Cricetulus griseus: one gene and its partners. The protein of the gene in region 1 binds, or shares a complex with, the protein of each later gene. Links are inferred from orthologs where the notes say so. Each region holds a gene or a part of one and is shown in the gene's direction. Other genes may lie near its edges.

Region 1 (3,509 bases):
GTATCTGGAGGTGTCCTGTCATCAGGACTGGGATGAGGGTCAGTGGTGGAGCACTGCCCCAGCTTGCACCAGGCCCCTGGGTATGAGGATGGTGTTGGTTGGTGATGGGCACCCAAGGCTTACTCAGAGCTTGAAACCCAATTCCTTTTCTGCAGGTCTCCTGGCCGAGTCCCATTTCTGGCTGCTCATGCCACTGGGACTGGGGCGGCGGAAAAAGGCACCACCTCTGGTGGAAAATGAAGAGGCGGAGCCAGGCCGCAGTGGCCTGGGAGTGGGGGAGCCTGGGCCCCTGGGTGGAAGCGGAGCAGGGGAATCCCAGATGGGCTTGCCCCCACCTCCCGCTGCCCTCCGGCCTCGCCTCGTATTCCACACCCAGCTGGCCCACGGTAGCCCCACAGGCCGCATCGAGGGCTTCACCAATGTCAAGGAGCTGTATGGCAAGATCGCTGAGGCCTTCCAACTGCCAGCTGCTGAGGTACCAGTGGGGCCAGGGTCTCCTGAGAGCAAGCCATAAGCCTAGGCATGCATTCTTGTGAGCTGGGGCTCAGGTGCTTGTGCACCCACTGGCCAGCAACCCCTGAATCTAGGAGGTATGGCTGCAGCAGGATACTGAGTTCCTGTCGGGCCTTGAGAGACTTTTACCCCAGTAGGTATATGGGGATGGCTTTCCCATCAGACCTTGAGAGGCTCGTAACCTAGTAGGTTGTGGGGCTGTGAGTGCTGGTTATCCCATCAGGTCTGGAGTAGCCTATGGCCTGGTAGATTGTAGCTGGGTTTCTATGAGGCTTTAGGACACCTATGCCCCAGAGCACTGTGGGAACTGGAGGTCAGGAGCAGCTATTGTTTCCCCATGGTGCACTAGAGGCATGACCCCAAGGTGGAAGCAGAGAAGCCACAGGGAGGGAAACAGTGGGGCTGAGCATCAAGTGGAGATTGGTGGGAAGGGTGGGTAGGAATCTAGACTCCTTTATTCACTCCAGCATTTGAGTGTTCACTGTAAATCAAGCTAGCAATGAGTTCTTACCAGAACAGAAATCCTACTCATAGCATTTGATGTACTAGTGGATCTTGCCCTGGCTCTGGGTGCCACCAATCCCTGGGATAGGTATCTTTTCTGAAGTCCCCTCCTCTCCCAAGTGTTAGGAAAGGTGACCCAGGGAGGAGGGCACAAGCATCTTGCCCACCTCTGCAGGTGATGTTCTGCACCCTCAACACCCATAAAGTGGATATGGACAAGCTCCTGGGTGGCCAGATCGGGCTGGAGGACTTCATCTTTGCTCATGTCAAGGGGCAGCGCAAAGAGGTGGAAGTATTCAAGTCTGAGGAGGCACTGGGACTAACCATCACTGACAACGGAGCCGGCTATGCGTTCATTAAGGTGCCCGGGTGGGTGGCACACCCTTGGTCAGTGGTCAGGGTCTGAAAGTGACCTAGAGTAGAGCTCCCAGGGCTGATGCCTGCCCCTCCACAGCGCATCAAGGATGGCAGTGTGATTGATCACATCCAGCTCATCAGCGTGGGTGACATGATTGAAGCCATCAACGGGCAGAGCCTGCTGGGCTGTCGGCACTACGAAGTTGCCAGGCTCCTCAAGGAGCTGCCCCGAGGCCGTACCTTCACCCTCAAACTCACAGAGCCTCGGAAAGCCTTTGGTGAGCAATCTTTGGACCACCCACTAGGATGACCTTGAATCCTTGAAAAATATGGTCTGCGGTTCTGGGAACCACCAGCAGGTGGCACCCAAGTCTGCAACCAAAGTGAAGCCGGCCCCACCCTAGCACCCTGGGTGCTGGCTGGTAGCCCAGCCTGAAGGAAGTATCCCCCACACCCAACTTCCAGAAGCCATTAGCTCAGCCAAGTGCCCCCAACCCTGGCCAGCCCCCTCAGCCTGGAGAAGTAAGGCTTGGCTGACCTGTATAACTCCCGGGCCCTGCCCCCTTTTCTACCTGGCTTCACTAACTCTCAGGAATGGGCCTGAGGCACCCCTGGTATGGGTAGGTAGGACTGATCTGAGATCCAGCAGTTATGCCCACCCATGGTCATGGGAAAGTGTCCAAGGACTCATTTTCGACCCCCAGCTCTCACCCCTTTTAGTAGAAGTAGTAGAAGTGTCCCTCAATTGTGTTCTCTAGCTTCTTTTATGTCTAACTCCCCCACCCCCCACCCCGCCCTGCCCCTCTCCATTCCTGCAAAGTCCTGTCCTCCTGGAATCCAGCCCCTATCCCAAGGAGCCTGCAGAACTTGGAGATGGTGAGAGGTGGCCTAGCTGCCTGAGTGCTATACTGACTGTATGCTGAAATTCCCATAGATATGATCAGCCAGCGTTCAGCGGGTGGCCACCCTGGCTCGGGCCCACAACTGGGCACTGGCCGAGGGACCCTCAGGCTCCGATCCCGGGGCCCTGCCACAGTGGAGGATCTGGTGAGTGAGCCACCTTGGGCCAGTGACGGCATTCTCATTACCTGAGGGACTCTGGACACCTCTGCTTAAATCTACCTCCTCCCAGCTTTGGGACCTTCCTTGGGCAAGTGAGACTTGGTTTTCCTACCTGTAAAGTAGGAGTCCTAGTAACTTCTTGTCAGAGGGGACCTTGATACAGACAGAAACCACAGCCAGGCATGTAATCTCAGGCAGGAGGATTTCACATTCAAGAATAACTCAAACCACAAGAGCTTGGCACCAAAAAGAAAATGCATGAAAGCCAGCCCAGTGTGGGCATGCACTTGTAATCCTAGATACCTGGGAAGCTGAGGTAGGAGGGTTTAGTGTTCAAAGCTAGCTTGGGCAACTTAGAATGTATCTCAAAATTAGAATAATAATATCTGAATATTGGGGCTGGAAAGATGGCTTAGCAGTTTAGAGCACTTGGTGCTCTTGCAGATGACCCAGGTTCAGTTCCTAGCACCCATATTGGGTGGCTAACACATTAACTCCAGCTCCAGGGCATCCAGTGTCCTCTTCTGACCTTCACAGGCTCACACATAGTACACATACATACATGCAGGCAAAACACTCCTACACATAAGCAAATAAATGTTAAAAAAAAAAAAATAGCTGGGGTGCTGAAGAGATGGCTCAGTGGTTAAGAGCACTAGCTGTTCTTCCAGAGGTCCTGAGTTCAATTCCCAGCAACCACATGGTGGCTCACAACCATCTGTAATGAGGTCTGCTGCCCTCTTCTGGCCTGCAAGCATATATGTAGGGAGAACACTGTATACATAATAAACAAACAAAATCTTAAAAAAAAGAAAGAAACAATAGCTGGGGGTGCAGCTCATTGGTGGAGCTGTTGCCTGGCATGTGTGAGGCCCTGGAGCTGTCCCCAGCACTGAAGGCATTCACTGTGTATAACAGCAGTTCTGTTGACACTACTGTGCTGTCTTGTCCCTCCTCCACAGCCATCGGCCTTTGAGGAAAAGGCCATTGAGAAGGTGGATGACTTGCTAGAAAGCTACATGGGGATCAGAGACACAGAACTGGGTGAGTGGGGGCACCCATGCCTGGAAGGT
Region 2 (4,258 bases), on another chromosome or scaffold:
ACAGGGAAGTGGGGGTAGCTGTAAGCTGGGCCTGTTCTGCTGACCCCTCAGGCACAGGGAAACCCCCTCCCCACCCTTCCTTCCTATCAAGTGGGAGCAAGGCAGGAGAGGTCACCCTCTGCGTAAGGGCCATCAGCCTTAAGTGACAGCTGCAAGCTGATAGGAGATCCTGACTGAGAACCTGTAGCTGAAGGACTGTGCCTTCAAACAATGGAACTGTGCCCCAACTTCCCCCTTAGCTGTGGATCTTGGGCTTCACTTCTGGGGCCTCAGTTTCCATGTATGTAAAATGGGTTGAGTATTTCTGAGGAGGTTGGCACTTGGCATGGTCCTATGTGGGCATCACCATGCTGTGGAGGGCATCACATGGGGCTGGATTAGGATACCACTACCTGCGTCTATCCCAGGGACTACCTATTCCTTTGTGGGTCAAAGGAGACCGGTGCCCAGTGCCAGGTCATATGTGGGACGACTTATGGTCTTCTCAGAACCCTGGACTAAGGGCAGGGGCCTGGGGGTCCACAGGGTCTGGCTCCACACAGAGACCAATGCCCTGTGGTGTGATGTCGTGCTCAGCCCAGCCTGCCCCATGGTATAGTAAGAGGGACATACTTCCTCTTGATGTATTTTCTACTTTTGCTGTGGATTCATTGCCAAGCTTGTTCTGCAGAGCCTGCTGCTTGCGAAGTCCCTTTACGGGACAGTTTGGGGGGACAGATCATGGGGTCTCGGGGCTTGATGTCCCTTAGTCCGGCTGGCTTTTAGAGTGAGGCTTGGGGAGCAGCATGTGAGGAGGGGCTGTAACCAGAAGCAGCAGGCGGTGGAGGAGAAATGGAGGGCTTCAGGGGACAAGGGAAGGAAGACAGTGGGGAGGGAGAGCTGCGGGAACAGAAAAAAACGCAGTTGAGGGAGAGGGAGTGACGCGGGAGAGGCACGGGGCGGAGTTGACAGGAGCGAAGTAGGGGAGTCGGAGAGACTGAAAGAGCGAAACTCCGCGCGGCGGTGGAAGACAAACCGGCGATCAGAAACAGAAGGAGAAAGGACCAGGAAGAGGAGAAAGACAGGAAAGATAACAAACAAATGTGAGCAAGACCTTCCAGGTGGCCAGGAACCAGGAAAGAGGCAGGCAACTTGCGACCGCTGGGAGAGAGCTTCGGCCGGCGGTCTGCGGCGACCCCAGACCGTGAGCCGGGGATGGGGCGGGGCCCAGGGGCGTGGCCCGGGGCGAAAGGGTGTGGGCCAAGCGGCTGGGGCGGGGAACTGGGCTGGGGGCGTGGTCTCGGCGGAGCCGCCCCCGGGCCGTGCGGCGCGCCAGAGTCGGGCCGGGGCGCCGGGGCCGGGGGCGGCAGGCGCGGGCAGGAAGCGCCTCGCGGCCCGGGCCCGCCCCCCGCCTCTCGCCGCCTCCGAGCTCCCGGCTCCCGGCCGCGCCGCGCCCCATGCACTCGCCGCGCCGCGCGCCCGCGCTCGCCTGGATGGCTCGTCGCGCCGCGGGCGGCGCACCCCCTAGCGCCCGGGCCGCTGCGGCCGTCCCCTTGCCTCCGCGCTCGCACTCGCGGGGCCCGGGTCTGCCGCCGCTGCCTCTGCTGCTGCTGCTCGGAGCGGCGCGGGCCGGCGCCCTGGAGATCCAGCGCCGCTTCCCTTCGCCCACGCCCACCAACAACTTCGCCCTGGACGGCGCGGCGGGCACCGTGTACCTGGCGGCGGTGAACCGCCTGTACCAGCTGTCGAGCGCCAACCTGAGCTTGGAGGCAGAGGCGACCGTGGGCCCCGTGCCGGACAGCCCGCTGTGTCACGCCCCGCAGCTCCCGCAGGCCTCATGCGAGCACCCGCGGCGTCTCACCGACAACTACAACAAAATCCTGCAGCTGGACCCGGGCCAGGGTCTGGTGGTCGCGTGCGGCTCCATCTACCAGGGTCTGTGCCAGCTGCGGCGCCGGGGCAACATCTCGGCCCTGGCTGTGCGCTTCCCGCCTGCCGCGCCGCCCGCCGAGCCGGTCGCCGTGTTCCCCAGTATGCTCAACGTGGCCGCCAACCACCCCAATGCATCCACCGTGGGGCTGGTGCTGCCGCCGGCCGCGGGCACGGGGGGCAGCCGTCTGCTTGTAGGCGCCACGTACACCGGCTACGGCAGCGTCTTCTTCCCGCGCAACCGTAGCCTGGAAGACCACCGCTTCGAGAACACGCCCGAGATCGCCATCCGCTCCCTGGACGCTCGTGGAAACTTGGCCAAGCTCTTCACCTTCGACCTCAACCCGTCCGACGACAACATCCTGAAGATCAAGCAGGGCGCCAAGGAACAGTACAAGCTGGGCTTCGTGAGCGCCTTCTTGCACCCGGCGGCGCCTCCGCGCCGCGCGCAGCCCTACGCGTACCTGGCGCTCAACAGCGAGGCGCGTGCGGGCGACAAGGACAGCCAGGCGCGCAGCCTGCTGGCGCGCATCTGCCTGCCCCGCGGCGCGGGCGGCGACGCCAAGAAGCTTACGGAGTCCTACATCCAGCTGGGCTTGCAGTGTGCGGGCAGCGCGGGCCGCGGCGACCTCTACAGCCGCCTCGTGTCTGTCTTCCCCGCGCGCGACCTGCTCTTCGCCGTCTTCGAGCGGCCCCAGGGCGCCCCAGGTGCCCGCAACGCCCCGGCCGCACTCTGCGTCTTCCGCTTCGCCGACGTGCAGACAGCCATCCGCGCGGCGCGCACCGCCTGCTTCGTGGAGCCGGCACCCGACGTGGTGGCCGTACTGGACAGTGTTGTGCAGGGCACCGGGCCGTCCTGTGAGAACAGACGTAACATACAGGTACGCCCGGGTCTGGGGAGCCTGTTTGGGGATCTGTTGTGCATGCAGGGATGTAGATGTCCCGGAGGATTGGTTGCTGGCAGGGGTGCTGGCCCCGGAGTATGTGCTCGGTCACAGGGTGTGCACACTTAAGGGGAGGAGGGTCTGTGTTGTCAAGGTACCCAGGTGTTCCCAGAAGGCAGACAGAGCACCTATAGCTCAGATCGGCAGGTGGGGGCCACAGGTGCAATGCTGAGCTGAGAGAGGCAGTGACAGTAAGAGTGTGTTTAGGGAGACTGTGGGTGCCCTTAGGACATGCCACTGCACCCTGGCAGGTGTGTGAGTAGGTGTGGCAGCAGAGCCCTGAGGATAAGGGGAGGGTGGGGCAGAAGGGCTAAGTATGTGTGTGACAAGGCACCCACTGGAGGCCCCAAGAGTGTAGACATGCAGGGATATTGACTCCCAGTAGGAAATTGTGTCAGGAGACCCTGGAATTTGGGAAGTGATTGCTTCCCTGGAGAGGTCACCTGGGTTGCAAACAGGTGTGTGCTCAAGGCCAACTTTCACTCACTCAGGAAAGAGCAGCTGAGCACCTATTAGGTGGCATGGCGGACCTGGAGTGACCACCAGAGTTGTGAGCTTTTAACTTAGTGTGTCGAGTGTCCTGTCTTCAACGAATGTCTGTTCTTAATTCCATTGTACATACAGACGAAGAAAGCAGGTATAAGAGTTTGAAGGGACACTCAGGTCACACAGCTGAGAACTAGCAGAGGTGGGACTTGAACTCAAGCTGTCTGCCCCCACCTCCCCAGCCTGTGTCCATGGTGCTGGGGCTTTGCTGCCTAACAGACACAGCCCAGCCGGACAGATGGGGCCACCGAGATGGAAAGAAGACTTTGGCAGGGGATCTTGGCTGGAACAGAGAACTACAGGGCTGAGGATGAGGTAGGGCCTGGGGGCGGCAAGAGGGCAGGTTAGGGGTCACCATGTGGGCTGGCCTTGGGTGCAGCCAGTCCCCTTCAAGGATTTCACAGCAGAACCCTCTTTTTATTGGCTTCAGAAGGTAGGCTTGTGGGTCCTCATTTTCCACCCCCAAATGACATTGACTTTGCAAAGCGCTAAGTGGAGCCTTCTGTGCTTGCTGAGGCCCCCTGTCTTGTCCCTTTCTCTGTGGTCCCAAGTAGTTGCAAGACTCTGTCATGGGCGTGCCTAGATTCCTTCTCTTGGCAAAGACTCGCACAGCCGCCTACCACCCTGCTGGTTCACCCCTCACAGAAAGGTCATAGAGGGTGAGAGGCAAATGGACTGTCTGAAGCTTACAGCCCTGCCACCAGGCAGGGTCAGGCCCCCTGTGCAGTGCTGGGGTGAGGGCAGCCACCATTCCCTACAGAATGGCTTGCATGGCTGTGCCTGGCTGGATCTGGAGGCTGGGAGAGAAGGAAGGGGAAGCTCTGTGGGCAGGGAAGGCAGCCCTCTGTGGGCCCCTAGCT
Region 3 (4,181 bases), on another chromosome or scaffold:
CAACTGTATCCTCTCTGCGTGTCTGACCCTCCCCCACCATTTTTGTGATGGTGTGGATTGAACTTGCATCCTCCTGAGTATCTGGAATCACAAGTATGAGGCCCAGTTTGAACACGTGAAACTTGTCTTCTCTAAGAATTGTCCAGACAGTGTCCAAGTGTTTAGAGCCCCTGTGTTCAGAGGACAATTTGAGTAGTAAGTTCAACCGTGTGGGTTCTGGGGATCGAAAGCTGGGCTTCAGGCTGGGCTGCACGTGTCCTTACTGCAAGTATCCTTACTGGCTGAAACATCTTGCCAGCTCCTTATTTTGTTTTCTTAGTAGCTTCTTTTCCTTATAAAGGCGATGTTTCAAATTTGCATGGGAATGTAGTTTTTAATCTAAAAAAGATGACTCATATGACCTTATAAAGAAAGTAAAATTAAACAATTAGAAAGATAAAGCGGGTAAGTTTATTTAATCCTATAAAACCAGCCCACAAAGGATTATCATTATTTCGAGGCTAGCCCAGGCTACATGGCAAGTTCCCAGGCAGCCTGGTTATCCACTGAGATTCTCAAGAGTCCGAATAAACAACAAAAGGGGCGGGGTAGGAGTACAGGGGCTCTAAGAAGTCAATATGACATCGTGGGAGGCCAGCCACGGCAGGGAAAACTTCCTTCCGCGGTCCAATCCTCCAAAGGCCGAACAGGAAGTTGACGCAGGCAGGTGAAGAGCTGCGTGGGGAGCACAGGCCTGGTTGCCACCTAGAGACCGCATGTGAGTCCCTCTGCAAAACGCCTGTCCCCACTGACTCAAATTTCCTCCAGCTGACTCTGCGGTGCAGATCCACAGGACCTGCGCTGCGGGACTGGAAACAACCACGACTGGGACGAAGGGAACTTAGTGTGGCCACCTGTAGCATGCTCCTAGCAGGGATGCACCCAGTGTCTCGGTTCTGGGCTGCTTCCCAGCCATGAAGCCCCGCCCTTCCCAGGCTGCAAGTCATTAAGCCCCGCCCTTTTCCAGCTCCGCATTCGGGAGTCCTGAGGCCACGCCCCACTCAGCACTGGCTCTGCCAGGCCTCCCCTCCCAGTCCGCCCGCCAGGGCGTCCAGGGACCCCGCTCTTAGCAGTCGCGCCCACGTACCCCCCACCACACGTCTTCAGGCTTCGCCCCTCGGTTCCTTCACTCCTAAGACCCCGCGCCTTGCCGGTCCGCCCCCTCCTCCTCCCTTGGACTCCTCCCCTCTCAGCCCTCGAGTCTTGAGGCCCCGCCCCTTAGGCTGCCCCCGCCTCTTGCGCATGAAGACCCGCCCTTTCTCCAGCCGCCCCGCCCCTCTCCCACTAAGTCCCGCCTCCGCCCCGCCTCCCGCCCCCTTGGGCGCTCCGTAGCAGTGACGTACGCTGCAGGCTGGGCACTCAGCAGGGCTCCGGCCAGCGGGCGGAGACCGATCCGGGATCTGTCCTAGCAGGAAGCGAATCCCGGCGGTCGTCGTCTCCGGTGCTCGCTCTCCGCCGCGGCGTCGCGCTCTCCCTTCGCGCCCGCAGCCCCGCAGCCTCTCCGTGGTCCTCGCGCACCTGCCTCCCCGGGTGAGTGTGGGCGCCTGCACGCCCGCCTGTCCTTGTCGCCTTGGCCTCTGCTCCCGGCCGGGCTCAGACCGGAGCTCTGGCTTCCCTTGCCCGGGCCGGCGGGGTGCCTGTCATCTGACGCTGCTGCGTCCCCGGTCCCGGGAGTCTCTCCTGACTTTGCGAGATGGTTTTATTTTCTCCTTTTGGAAGCACACTGAAAATTCTACACAGACTAGTCTGTTGTCAGAAGTAAAGATCAAATGATGCCATTAATAATTTAGCCGTGTCGAAGACCATGGTGGCATTCTACGGAGCTGGAGTTTTAGTTCCTGAGTGGTCTCGTATCTTGAGTGTGAATTTTACGGATATGTTGATGAAAATTTTTTTTAAAAAACTAACTTAGTTAATTCCAAAACTCCTTAAACTAATTTAAACACGCTGGCTCTGGGTTGTATCTCTAAATAGGAAATGATTTAATAAGGTCATTCTTAGGTTATCTATGTCTGGAATATTTACACAGAGTTACATTTTATCTGGCGAGAAGTATGTAGGGCAGGGCTGTTTAAATCCTAATGTGGAGCATTGTTGGGGCGATCTCATATGTGCTGAATAAAAGTTTCGTTTGCTATCCTGGTACAGTTGTAGGAAGTTCGAATATAGTCGACTTGAGACTTTTAACAGCTCCTGGGGCTCAGCTGCAACTATCTGCACACCATAAAATGTGAGTCTCGATGGTGGTCATGGTACAAAGGTTGGCCGCCGAACAGCAGCATTTCTGTACAAATTAACTCAACTTCAAGATATCTTGGCTTGTGGTTTTCCAACTGGGAAATGTTTAGTGAAAAAAGTTACCTTAGTGCCCTCTAGCATTAATTTTAGAAATAGCCAAAATGTTACAAGGGGACCAAAGGAAGAGTCAGAAACAATGCAGCTCTTCAGAATAGCTCATTGACTTTTAAATGTCATTTTTGGGGTTTTCCATTGTGCAGGAGTAAACATGCACAGTGGTAAACAAGTCTTTTTAGGCTGATGCTCATCTGCCCATAGTGTTTTTATTTTGTGTGTGTGATCTGTTACTTATTTTTTTTCCTTCTCTTTTCTAGTTATGTATCTACTTTCAAAAGTTACTTGTAAATGACAGGGACCTAATACTACCATTAAGAAAAGATTATTGTGATTAAATGTAGTATAGAATATACATATGCTCTATTATCTAGACACATGAGCAAGAAGAGAGAACGACTATGATATTTTATGGAAACTGCCACCAGGTATTAAAAACAAAGGTGGTAAATTATAGTTCATAGGGGCTTATCTGAAAGGGATTTTCCCCTGTTTATGTGATCAAGTTTTAAAATAACAGTGGCCAGGAAATCTGAGAGAGGCCAAAGGCTCTTCTGTCATCCTGTTGTGACTTTGCCGGGAGTCTGTGGTGGATCATTTATTGTTTAGACAACTGGTCTGTATCTGGGTTCTGAAAGGCAGTCGCCTTTAGACAGTTTTAAAGATTTCCACCATGCAAGGTCTGAATATATAGGCAGTCCACATTTTAAAAAATTCACTAGTTTTAAAATTTCTCCTGGTACATAAGGCTCCACTTAGCATACATAAAATGCCAGTTTAAAAATAATCAGGTTTGGAAGTACAATACAGTGGGTAGAGCTCTCCCTAGTATGTGTGAAGCCCTGGGTACCAAAATTTTCATTTTTCTGTATTAAAACATCGTATTTAAACATAAAAGATTGATAAAAATGTTACAATTTGAATACCTCTCACACAGTATAATGGGGATTCTCAGAAAGAGATACTTTGCAACAGTTTATAAACTGGCAATTTAGTATCAGGGTGATACACACAAGCTGAAGGCTTGATTTACAAAATAATTTTCCAGGTTGATGGTCTTGTTGTTTTATAGAGGAGAAAACAAGAGGCTCAGAGAAGTAAATACTTGCATTGGCTTTGGAGGGGCAAAGTCCAGACTCTGGATATGCAGAGGAGTCTTCTGACAGTGAAGTCCCCCACCCTGTTTGAACAGGGCTTGCCTTGGGTTTCTGTTTGCCTGGTGAACTATTGAGACTCCCTTGTAGAACTGGTCTGGAGATTTGAAGATGCTGATAGTCCATGCATGGACTCTGGAGCTAATTGAAAATTCTGTCTTCTTCTTTAAGGCCTCGAGCAGTGACCCAATGCAGTAGCATCATTTCTGGTGTAGTTCCAGCATGTAATAAGTATTATGTGCTTTTCATTTTGATGGGCTTATAGGATTTAACATTGCCGTCTAATCCTGGATTGATTTCATTATAGCTGAGCAGTGTATGAAGTTTCTGTTTAGGATAAAGCTTCAATTTTTTTTCCTTCATGTGAGTTAGATTGTTGCTCCCAAATACAGTAGCTGTCTCTTAAATGTTATTCAATTAACTCTAACCTTAGGGGCTGAAACATGCTCCAGGCTCAAGATGTTCAGGACTATGAGATGGCTCAGCAGGTAAAAGCACTTGTCCGGAACCCTGATGCCCTGAGTTTGAGCTCATGACAAACAACTTCTGTTAATTGTCCTCTGACTTCCACACATATGCCATGTCACATAGTCATAAGCAAATAATTGTAATTTAAAAATTAAATATTAAGATGTT

What was found. Proteins that work in one complex are often made in the same cells at the same time.
Region 2: the proteins of Gipc1 (region 1) and Plxnd1 are in contact, whole or in part, in a crystal structure (PDB 5V6T), measured with the Mus musculus proteins. The link is inferred for Cricetulus griseus from reciprocal best matches to the Homo sapiens genes GIPC1 and PLXND1. Residues at the interface, in NP_061241.1 of Mus musculus: His61, Glu141, Ala142, Leu143, Gly144, Leu145, Thr146, Ile147, Thr148, Asp149, Asn150, Gly151, Phe156, Lys158, Arg159, Arg190, His191, Tyr192, Glu193, Ala195, Arg196, Leu198, Lys199; in NP_080652.2 of Mus musculus: Glu1400, Met1889, Glu1893, Arg1899, Gln1902, Gln1904, His1905, Glu1908, Ile1918, Tyr1919, Cys1921, Tyr1922, Ser1923, Glu1924, Ala1925.
Region 3: the proteins of Gipc1 (region 1) and Myo6 are in contact, whole or in part, in a crystal structure (PDB 5V6E), measured with the Mus musculus proteins. The link is inferred for Cricetulus griseus from reciprocal best matches to the Homo sapiens genes GIPC1 and MYO6. Residues at the interface, in NP_061241.1 of Mus musculus: Glu273, Ser274, Tyr275, Met276, Gly277, Ile278, Arg279, Asp280, Glu282, Leu283, Thr286, Asp310, Phe311, Ala312, Pro314, Glu316; in NP_001034635.2 of Mus musculus: Ser1055, Lys1056, Trp1057, Lys1058, Tyr1059, Ala1060, Arg1084, Arg1085, Leu1086, Val1088, Tyr1089, Trp1092, Lys1093, Asn1096.

Annotation. Positions count from the first base shown.
Region 1 is NC_048596.1:160,754,341-160,757,849, reverse strand, and holds part of Gipc1 (PDZ domain-containing protein GIPC1), read left to right. Parts: intron 1-155; 5' UTR 156-187; coding exon 188-475; intron 476-1,192; coding exon 1,193-1,378; intron 1,379-1,471; coding exon 1,472-1,652; intron 1,653-2,308; coding exon 2,309-2,421; intron 2,422-3,398; coding exon 3,399-3,480; intron 3,481-3,509. UniProt on the Homo sapiens protein: May be involved in G protein-linked signaling.
Region 2 is NC_048601.1:28,869,825-28,874,082, forward strand, and holds the start of Plxnd1 (plexin-D1), read left to right. Parts: upstream 1-1,457; 5' UTR 1,458-1,472; coding exon 1,473-2,789; intron 2,790-4,258. UniProt on the Homo sapiens protein: Cell surface receptor for SEMA4A and for class 3 semaphorins, such as SEMA3A, SEMA3C and SEMA3E. Plays an important role in cell-cell signaling, and in regulating the migration of a wide spectrum of cell types.
Region 3 is NC_048597.1:191,082,397-191,086,577, forward strand, and holds the start of Myo6 (unconventional myosin-VI), read left to right. Parts: upstream 1-1,380; 5' UTR 1,381-1,569; intron 1,570-4,181. UniProt on the Homo sapiens protein: Myosins are actin-based motor molecules with ATPase activity. Unconventional myosins serve in intracellular movements. Myosin 6 is a reverse-direction motor protein that moves towards the minus-end of actin filaments.